Oryzias latipes: one gene and its partners. The protein of the gene in region 1 purifies or fractionates together with the protein of each later gene. This does not show direct contact. Links are inferred from orthologs where the notes say so. Each region holds a gene or a part of one and is shown on either strand. Other genes may lie near its edges. The genes, in order: pold3, pold1 and sprtn.

What was found.
Region 2: the proteins of pold3 (region 1) and pold1 purify together in Homo sapiens (co-immunoprecipitation; 8 studies listed by BioGRID and IntAct, with this or other methods). This does not show direct contact. The link is inferred for Oryzias latipes from reciprocal best matches to the Homo sapiens genes POLD3 and POLD1.
Region 3: the proteins of pold3 (region 1) and sprtn purify together in Homo sapiens (affinity purification with mass spectrometry; 3 studies listed by BioGRID, with this or other methods). This does not show direct contact. The link is inferred for Oryzias latipes from reciprocal best matches to the Homo sapiens genes POLD3 and SPRTN.

What each region holds. Positions count from the first base shown.
Region 1 is NC_019875.2:1,858,923-1,861,861, forward strand, and holds the end of pold3 (DNA polymerase delta subunit 3), read right to left. Parts: coding exon 2,922-2,939; intron 2,726-2,921; coding exon 2,584-2,725; intron 2,502-2,583; coding exon 2,398-2,501; intron 1,514-2,397; coding exon 1,428-1,513; intron 1,355-1,427; coding exon 1,276-1,354; intron 988-1,275; coding exon 782-987; 3' UTR 611-781; downstream 1-610. UniProt on the Homo sapiens protein: Accessory component of both the DNA polymerase delta complex and the DNA polymerase zeta complex.
Region 2 is NC_019866.2:14,475,434-14,479,093, forward strand, and holds part of pold1 (DNA polymerase delta catalytic subunit), read right to left. Parts: intron 2,903-3,660; coding exon 2,789-2,902; intron 2,706-2,788; coding exon 2,558-2,705; intron 2,133-2,557; coding exon 2,037-2,132; intron 1,938-2,036; coding exon 1,800-1,937; intron 1,297-1,799; coding exon 1,121-1,296; intron 1,003-1,120; coding exon 850-1,002; intron 405-849; coding exon 302-404; intron 218-301; coding exon 85-217; intron 15-84; coding exon 1-14. UniProt on the Homo sapiens protein: As the catalytic component of the trimeric (Pol-delta3 complex) and tetrameric DNA polymerase delta complexes (Pol-delta4 complex), plays a crucial role in high fidelity genome replication, including in lagging strand synthesis, and repair.
Region 3 is NC_019882.2:17,532,092-17,534,514, reverse strand, and holds part of sprtn (sprT-like domain-containing protein Spartan), read right to left. Parts: intron 1,710-2,423; coding exon 1,581-1,709; intron 1,502-1,580; coding exon 1,231-1,501; intron 1-1,230. UniProt on the Homo sapiens protein: DNA-dependent metalloendopeptidase that mediates the proteolytic cleavage of covalent DNA-protein cross-links (DPCs) during DNA synthesis, thereby playing a key role in maintaining genomic integrity.

The DNA of each region.
Region 1 (2,939 bases):
TTCTAAAGAATGCATTAAACACAGTTTCTGATTTGTGAAACCTTTACCTGATTTGTGAAAATGTGAAATAGGATGATTTTTATAGCATTTTATGAACCGAGTCCACCTCAGACCAGGTCCTATTGAAAAACCTCTGGACCTAGACTGCTTAAACCTGGATTCAATTTTGATTTAGATAGTAAAAAATACATTAAACAGTTTCTGATTTGTGAAACCTTTACCTGATTTGTGAAAATGTGAAATGGTATCATAAAAGCGTAAAACGTGATAAAAATCATCCTAAATTTAATAAAGGTCATTTTTTTTCTATACTTTTAGAAGATGACAGCGCCGTGACCTTGGAGGAGGTGTTCACGTTAGCTGCAGGTGTGCCACGTGTTCCTCCTGCTGGTATGAGTCCTCTGCTTCACTTCCCATCTTCAACATCAAGATTACTGTTTTAAAAACCAGTAACACCGGGGCTACAAATGACCCTGTCTGTCTCCCAGGTTTGATTTTCAAAAGTGTGTGAATGAACCAAAAGTCCTCCTGTCTGACTGGTCCACAGCACAGGAACCGTTTGTAAAGTTCTCTACTTTCTAATGTGGATTAAAAATAAGAAGACGCATGCTCACACAATATTTTCAGAGTTTATTGATTATCCCGTGTGTTTACAGCAGGAGACAGAAAGGATATAAAAATGGTTTTCCAGGCTTTGTTTTGTTTTTCAAACTGTCCATGTGTGAGCAGTGAGTCCACACCAACAAAACTGACCTCCTCCAGCGGATCTGGGCAAATGTTCTCACTTCTTCTGAAAAAATCCCATAATAGAAGCTTGTTTTCCTCCTTTGTTGGAGTTGGCCGGAGCTTTTTTCTGAATTTTCTTGTCGTCCTCTTTGCTCCCCGGGTTTGGTTTGGCCTTAAACGGCGCCGTCTGAGCCGCTTTGGGGGCTTGGAAATCCTCCTCGGATTCAGAGTACGATTCACTCTCAAAGCCTTTTTCTGTGACTGTAAAAAAAAAGAAAAAATATTCAGTAAAAAAATCTATGGCGTTTAAAAGGTTTAAAACTGTGTTTGTCATTTTTAATGAACCTTAAAATCATTTAGACAATACAAATGAAGAATTTACTTTGAGGACTCATATCTGAGCTTTGGAAAAGAAAACTTTCACCTTTGAACTATGAAGACAATAAAAGATGATGGAAAAAAAATGTGTGTTGAATTTGCAAAGAATTATAAAGTCATATTTCTGAGGAAACTGTGATTATAATAGTAATAATGATTGCTTTTTCATACCCATACACCCATCAGCGTCCAGATATGTGCGAGACTTCAGGACCCGTCTCCTCTTCCTCACCTTCGCCCCAGAGTGACCCTGCAATATAAAGGTTCATTTATATGAACCTAAGCAACTCATCATTTGAATTTTAAACTAAGAAGTCACTCACATTTGACGGCTGAACAGTTTCCGTTTCTTTTTTAGGACTTCTCTCTCTAGTTAGAGTCTCTTGGGGCTGTGGGGAATCCGGAACGACTGTAAATAAAACAGAAACAGAAACAGAGCCCAGGTTTTAGAAAAAAATTAACTAGAAGTTTATACAAGGTGCTATTTTCTTAAAGGACCTAAACATTCAAAGAGCAAATAAATGACACCTGAAATGGATAAACAGACACCAAAATGAAGTTACATTGATCAGCTGAGATCACAACTCGACTGACTGGAGGAGTTTTTCCAGAACAGGTTAAAAAGTCTCAGATTTGAAAGAGTTGAGAAAACCTGTCAGTTTTTAACTTTCACTGAAATTCAAAGGAGTATTTTGGCCATGAAAGACAAAAAAACATACATGAGAATAAACTCATAAAAGTATGAGAAAAGAAGGAATATTCACAAAAATAGGGTTGTAAAATTATGAAGAAAAGAAAAAGGAAAACGGCAGACCTTGGTTGTGTAAGCCTGAATCCACATTACGTGACTAAATGCAGACGTTCATGGTGATGCCATAAGGCTTAAACATTGGTATCTAGGTGCCACAATCCGCTTGGACCTCTGCAAACACTGCCACAGCCAAATCCACTCCTTTTGGGTCAGAATCTTTCAGGGTCCTGGAAATTCTTTTCAATATCCTTCTAATAAAACAATATTGACTGGACTTAACATTTCCTTATTTGTGAAACCAAAAGTGGTAGTACCCACTTACGTAATATTAGCACTTTTCCTCATTATTTCACGATTACTATTGTAAAATTGCACATTTTTCCCATAATTTCACAACTTTATTCTCATAAATGTTATCTCTCCGTTTTAACAATAAACTGAAAAGAGAAAAATGTCAGTTTTCTCTGACAAACTGAGAATCTTCATTTAATTATTCCTCATTTCTCAGCATAAACTGATCAATCAAAAGAGCATTAAAAGACCTTCTTCATCACTGCTGTCTGGTTCTGGTTTCTTAATCCTCCGCCTCTTCTTCTTGTCCATCTTGTCCTCTTCACTGTCTTCGTCTTCCGCTCTCTTGGTTTTGCTGTGGAGGGAATAAGGCAGCACATTCCCATCAAGCAAAAGGAAAAGCTGGAGTGTTTTTTGCAGGTCAGGGGTAAACACACCTTCTGGGGTCTTTTTGGGTCTGCACTGCTGCACCGTCAAACTTTTCACAGGGTTGAGGACTTTTACGCTGCGGCGGCGGCGGCGGCTCAGATGTGGAAGACGTCTGATCTGCTTCCTCCTTCACGGCTTTGACTGATTTTTCTGTCGAAATGAAGAACCTTTAGTCTAAAAATGCCATTTCCTGTGTGAACATGAGCAGCGTTTGGTGAACCTCAACTTGAGGTAAAGACTAAGAAGATTTAAATGCAAGATATGGAATTTTCTGATGTCGACACACTAAACGGAAGCTGGAAATAGGATTTGGTTAGTAATAAACTGTATTGATGATGGAACTGACTTGCTGTTTGACTCCCAA
Region 2 (3,660 bases), on another chromosome or scaffold:
TGTGTGATCACCCTCTTAAAGAAATTAGTCAATTACATTCTATTTTTTGCACATAAAGGTTAAGTAATGAGAAGGTGTAGATACTTAGCAGGACGCTCTCTGCCTTGCTCTCCCCGAGGATGGGCTCAAATATTCTCAGTAGCGGTTTGGACAGCTGCTGTTCCAGGTAGTACTGTGTGTCGATGGGAATAGTGTTCTCAAGCACGTAGATCGGGTCCTAAAGCGCCATCAGGAATGGTTATTTACGGCAAAAGTGAGAGGGAAAGAAAAGAAAACGTTGCAGGTCAAAGACGCCACGCACCTCTGACTTCATGTATGCTGCGGCGCCTTTCGCGGCTTTGATGATGACGTACGGCACTCGATCTCCCAGGTTTGGCGCGCTGCCTGCGTCTCTTTTCCTCATTCTGTCAAACATCGACATTAAAAGGGGAATTTCAGAGATTTGACAAAATTCATTAAAGTCCCACTCTGAGCGTTTCCAGTGCTCTTTCAAGTATGGTTATGGCGTTTTTAGCCAAAATCCAAAGTCCTGTGTAATTTTTTCAGACATAGTTTTTTTTTCTTCTCAGACATAGTTTCTCCAGAGCGGCAGTAGTTCATTATAAATTGTGAGAAAACGTATGCGGGTCTAATCGTCTGCAAGTGGATGTATTTGGAATGAAGCGAAGCAGGGAGGTTGTGGCCTAGGAGTATTTGTTGTGTATTTTTTACACAACAAATACTCCTTATTCACATCGATCTGAATAAAGAAATACTCAAAAATGTGGTTTTAGGCTTCATTCTCTTCAAATATGTCCCCCATAAGAAAAATGCCACAAGGAAATGTTAGAAACGGATTGAGAGGAAGACCTTTCTGCCAGCTCCACGTGGGCTTGTTTGCCGGCGTACTCCTGAGCCGTGCGCGTCAGCTCTTTGGTGATGACCAGCTGGCTGATGTCAATACGATTGCAGAGCAGGTCAGAAATGACTTCTTTGGCATGATCAACAGCACCTTGAGGGTCTCTAAAGACAACAAAACCACAGATTTCAGTCAAATACAAAGAATCTGGCATTCACTGCATGTCATGAGCTTAACATTCCGAGTATTTCCAGCAGTTAAGAGATGGAAGCAGGTGTGTACCTGTCGATCAGGATCTTCTGCAGACAGGTGTTGATTAGGTTGGCCACCAGAGGACAGTTGTCTCTGCGGACCGTCTCGATGCCTTTGCAGTCCATCTTGTCATGCGTGTCCGCGCTTGAGGAGAAATAGAGTCCTGCGTAGCGCTTCTTATTGATCAGCAGGTACGGGTAGTAAACCTGTGAGAACATTCAAAAGAAAAGTCTTCTAGGCTGCTACTACACCTTAAATATATTCCCAAGAGTTTCCAAAAAGGTTATACAAAACAACATACTGATGAAAATATCTACAAACAATATCAAATGAATGGAAGGCAGATTGAAATGCATTCAGTTTGCGATGGGAACAATAATTTTGCAAATGTTATGAATGGGAAGATGAGAACTGCAAGAAAACCTGGTCAGCTTTGGACAAGATCCAGCAATTATTATTATAATTATTATTACAGCAATTTCCCAATGCTGTAATATTCAGCAAAAAACATTCAAATGCAAGTTTGAAACCCATAATCAGGGTGGAATCTATTTAAAGAAATCTATTTAATCTAAAATATTTAGAGTAGATCAATATGTATCTAAAGAAGAAAACTAAAATCTGCATGACTGCAATCAAAATGGGACGTCCACATAGATGTATGGAAAAGATAAACATTCATAAAACCATGCCTGGAATGAAACGTCACCTTCTCAAACTCCAGTTTGATGGGGGGTGTAAAGTGGGAGGAGACCCACTCAGCCGCTTCCCTCCCGATTTCCATGGCCTCCTTGACCGTTGCGACTCCGAGCTTGACCATGACGGAGTCTGTGTCTCCGTAAATCACCTGAGCGTTCAAAATTAAAGCATGTTAGGAGGTTTGACTTGCATTAAAAAAGATCTGGTACATGGGGAAGTCGAGCTGGTTCAGCCACACATTCCTCACCTTGGCATCAGCTTGATAACCATTAGAAATGGTGTATTTGGACTCGACGAGCTGTTTAGTTCGTTCGATCATTTGCCTTCCAAATCCGGTGACGCTCTGGACACAAAACAGAATCCATTAACTGATGAATCGACAGATTTATCTTGACTGAAGAGTCAAGAATTCATACAAGAGCGACAAAACAATGGCTTTCTTTGAGAGCAACCGTTAAGTAAATAACCAAGATCATAAGTTAAGAATAAATGTATTTTACCTTACGACAATCAGATAAACAACAATACTTTTAAATTTCGCCCCAACTGTTTCAGCTGCTTTGTGGTTTCCTTTTGCAACATATTTTCCCTTTAAGTTTTGTGTGAACCTTTCATGCTCTACATTTGTGCACACCACACAAAAACCTAAACTGGGGCAGCCCACCGACTGACAGAGACACATGTGGAAGGACCATCGGAGAAACTGCATTTGACCTGTCAAAATAAAATTCTTTAGCGCTACCTGGTCATCTACACTAAAGTGCTCACCTGTGAGATTTCTAAGCAGGGCAGTTTGCCCACCTGAGCCCCTGTGAAGCCATAAACAGAGTTGGCACTGATTTTTAGGGCCAGCTGTCGGCCATCCAGCACCTGCTTCTTAAAAGGGTCGGTTTCCTTCTTTAACTCTGCTTTGGCCCTGCGGACACATTGGAAAATCACGATGAAGACCCAACATGGCTCATGTGTTTGGTGTGGATTTTTACTTTCTGTAAACCCAACCTCTTTCTGGCAGACAGCAGGTTCTCCAGGATTTCCGGAAGAAGTCCCTTCCTCACAGAACTTTTCACAAATTGGTCACCTGTTGGGGTCTTGATGAAATCCTCAGATGACAACCTGCAAACACAGTCATTAAAGTCAGAAACAAAGCTTTTGGAAACCATGTTTATTTCCCCAAACAAAGAAATAAAATGTCTCCAGTGTTAATCATCTAAATCAGTGGTCACTAACCACCAGGCGATGGACAAGTACCCGTCTGTGGGACACGCCAAAAATGTTGGTTGTGTTGGAACATAAACCAACATTTGATCCTTTTTAATTTATCATCCGATTCTGAACTTTTATTTTGAAAAACGACATTCTTGGCACATGTTGAGTTGCTCGGTTACATGATGAAAATACATTCACTACTTTCTTAAAACAGTTGCACCGGCCGCTAAATTGAAACCTCCCAAGCTAGCAAAGTTGACGAAAACAAACGTATTTAGAAAGTTTCTTTCTGGAAAAAAAAAAAAAAAAGCCAGTGAGGAAACAGAAGAAAAATCTTTGACTTCAAAATAAAAGAAAGTTGCATTTAACAGACAAAATCCACAACAACTATTTACTCCAAATATAGATTTGCTGCGACAGTTGTTCCCATTCACTATAATAATAATAATAATAATAATAATTATTATTATTATAATACAGACTCCCTCTTGTTACGAGGATGTAGCTAAAAAGTTGCTCCAACGATGGACTCACGCTTATTATTACATTAAGAAAATACCAGTTTTAGTGCCTTTTTTCTTATTCATCCTTCAAAGTTAGATGAGCCTTAAGTTGGTGTCTGATTTTTTTAGCTTCCACTCTGACAGTTTTGGGTTAAAGGAACA
Region 3 (2,423 bases), on another chromosome or scaffold:
CTCTGTGCATGCATGGGTTTTCTCTGGACACTCCGGCTTTCTCTACAATCCAAAAACAGGCTCAATAGCTTCATTAGTGACTACATTGTCCCTAGGTGTGACTGTGCGGCCCTGCGACAGACCGGTGACCGGCTCAGGGTGTTCCCTGCCTTTGCCCGACTGTAGCAGAGTAGGCTCCAGCAACCTCGTGACACACAAAGGGATTCAGCGGATTCTGAAGATGGAGGGAAATTTTTTTTGAAAATCTTTGAAAATCCACATTGCACAGCTTAGATTCCCACTCTGATTATCGTTTGATCTATTCTAAAAGTGGTCTTTTGATAATAATTATGCAGTTTTTTAGCCAAAATCAAAATAAGGGTGTTGTTTTCTAGGACAATTTCTCCAGAGCAGCAGCAGTAAACCTGTCCCTAGTTCCCATCACATGCTCAACTGCTAGCTTACAGCCTCTCACAATCCCAACCTAACATTAGCGGTGCAACAAAAATGGCGAGCAATATCAGAGCTATGCAGACGTACAGTTTGGATTCAGATTCCAGTTCGGATGATCAAAACAAAGACGTCCATGGATCTATTTGTCTGACAGTGGATGCATCAGAATGGAGCAGAGCAGGTAGCTTTTTATGTTAAAAACATGGTCAATGGCGTATACTTATAGCGCTTTCTATCCTCTTTCGAAGGCCCAAAGCGCTTTACAGTCACACACACATTCACACACTGATAGTGGCTCCGCTGCTGAACACTGGCGCCAACCTCCCACCAGAGGCATGGTGGGATTTAGTGTCTTGCCCAAGGACGCTTCGACACATGGGTGTTCAAGGCCTGCAATCTTACGATCATGGGTTGACCGCCCTACCGCTGCACCACGGCCGCCCACAAAAAAAAGCCCACAATTTTCATCAGAGTGGGTCTTTGAAGGGTTCATACCAGAGCTGTTGTCGGTGACAGAAGATAAAACACGCTCTTCAAACTTCTGTTGACGTAGTAAACATAATTCCCTCTGATTGAGTCAGGCTTGAGGATGAGGCTTTGTGCTGCAATGCAACACTTTACGATAGGAAAAGCTGCAAGAATCCGCTGACTCCAGTTGATTGCTTAACCGGTCAAACGGTTCCGGTATCTCATGGAGCGTTTGTTATTTAGGAGTCACCGGCGACAGCTCCAGTGATAAAGGTCTAAACAACAGGAGAAAGCTGCTTCTGTTTAATACGTTAAAACACGTTTCTTTACCTTTAGCCGTGTTTGAGGTTTTACTAGTTCCTAAAGACTTCTTCCCGTCCTTCTTGCCCTTTTTGCCATAGCCATCGGGTTCTTTGATTTTGGTGTACGTCCCCCCACACGTCCTCCGGTGATCCTCCCACCAAGGGTCCAGGGAGGAAGGAGCTCGGTTCATGGCTCTCTTTACGTAGCCGAAGTAGGGCCTGCGGTTCTGACACGGTCCGTCACATCGCCACCAGTGCTGCCGGTACACGTCGACCTCGTCGTGGAAGCTGTGGTAGACCTGAAGGGGAGCAGAGCAGACATTTCCTAACATTCTCTAGAGAGCATTCAGAGCCTATTGAAAGTGCTGGAAAACTCACCGTAATCTTGGTCCCACTGGCCTGGTTGATACGATTCATGTGTTTACAGAACTCTGGCCCGTGGCCGTCTCGGTCTCGGTTGTTTTGGGTCACAAACAGGAGGGCGTGAATCATTTCATGGAGGAGAGTCTGCAGAAACAAGCATCTTTAGTGCAAACACAGCAAACAGGGTCAGCTCAGTGCAGCAAGTAACTAATCTGAATAAAAAAAATCAGCTTTTGGATCTTGAGTTCAAATATGCACAAAGAATGGTTTTCGAATTAAAAGAAAATAATTAACTGGGTTAAAGCTTTTGTTTGCACAGAAAAGGTTTTTTAGCCTGGTTAAAAAATTCGATAACAGGGTCCAGAGTGGAGTCTTTTCTCAAACCACAGAAACATCATTTTTCCTTTTCATCCACAAACCAAACAGTTTTTTAGTGGTTGATGGTTTTGCCGTGGCTAAATACTTTTAATTTTCAGCCAAATGTTAGTCTGTTGCACAAAAAAACTCTGTATTTACGTTTTTATTCCTCCTTTTGTAATATTGTGTATATATACTTTTCAGAACTGGACTGACTGAGTGTGACGTCACTCATGGTTTACTTCCAGCTCCAACCAAATGGAGTCAATTCAGTCGCCATATTTTTGCGCCGCCATGTTGGAGCCAGACGACATCAGTAAGCAGTGATTGGTTCAAGTTGGTCTGAGTTGACGTCTCCATGGCAGTTGCTCTGGCCAATCAGGAGTGAGGTTGCTGAAGCTCCACACCCCTACTGCTTGAAAGCCGGCTACACAAAACCTGTCAATCAAATGTTTCAAACGTACGACACATGACCATTTTATTTTGGCACCAGTTTATAAT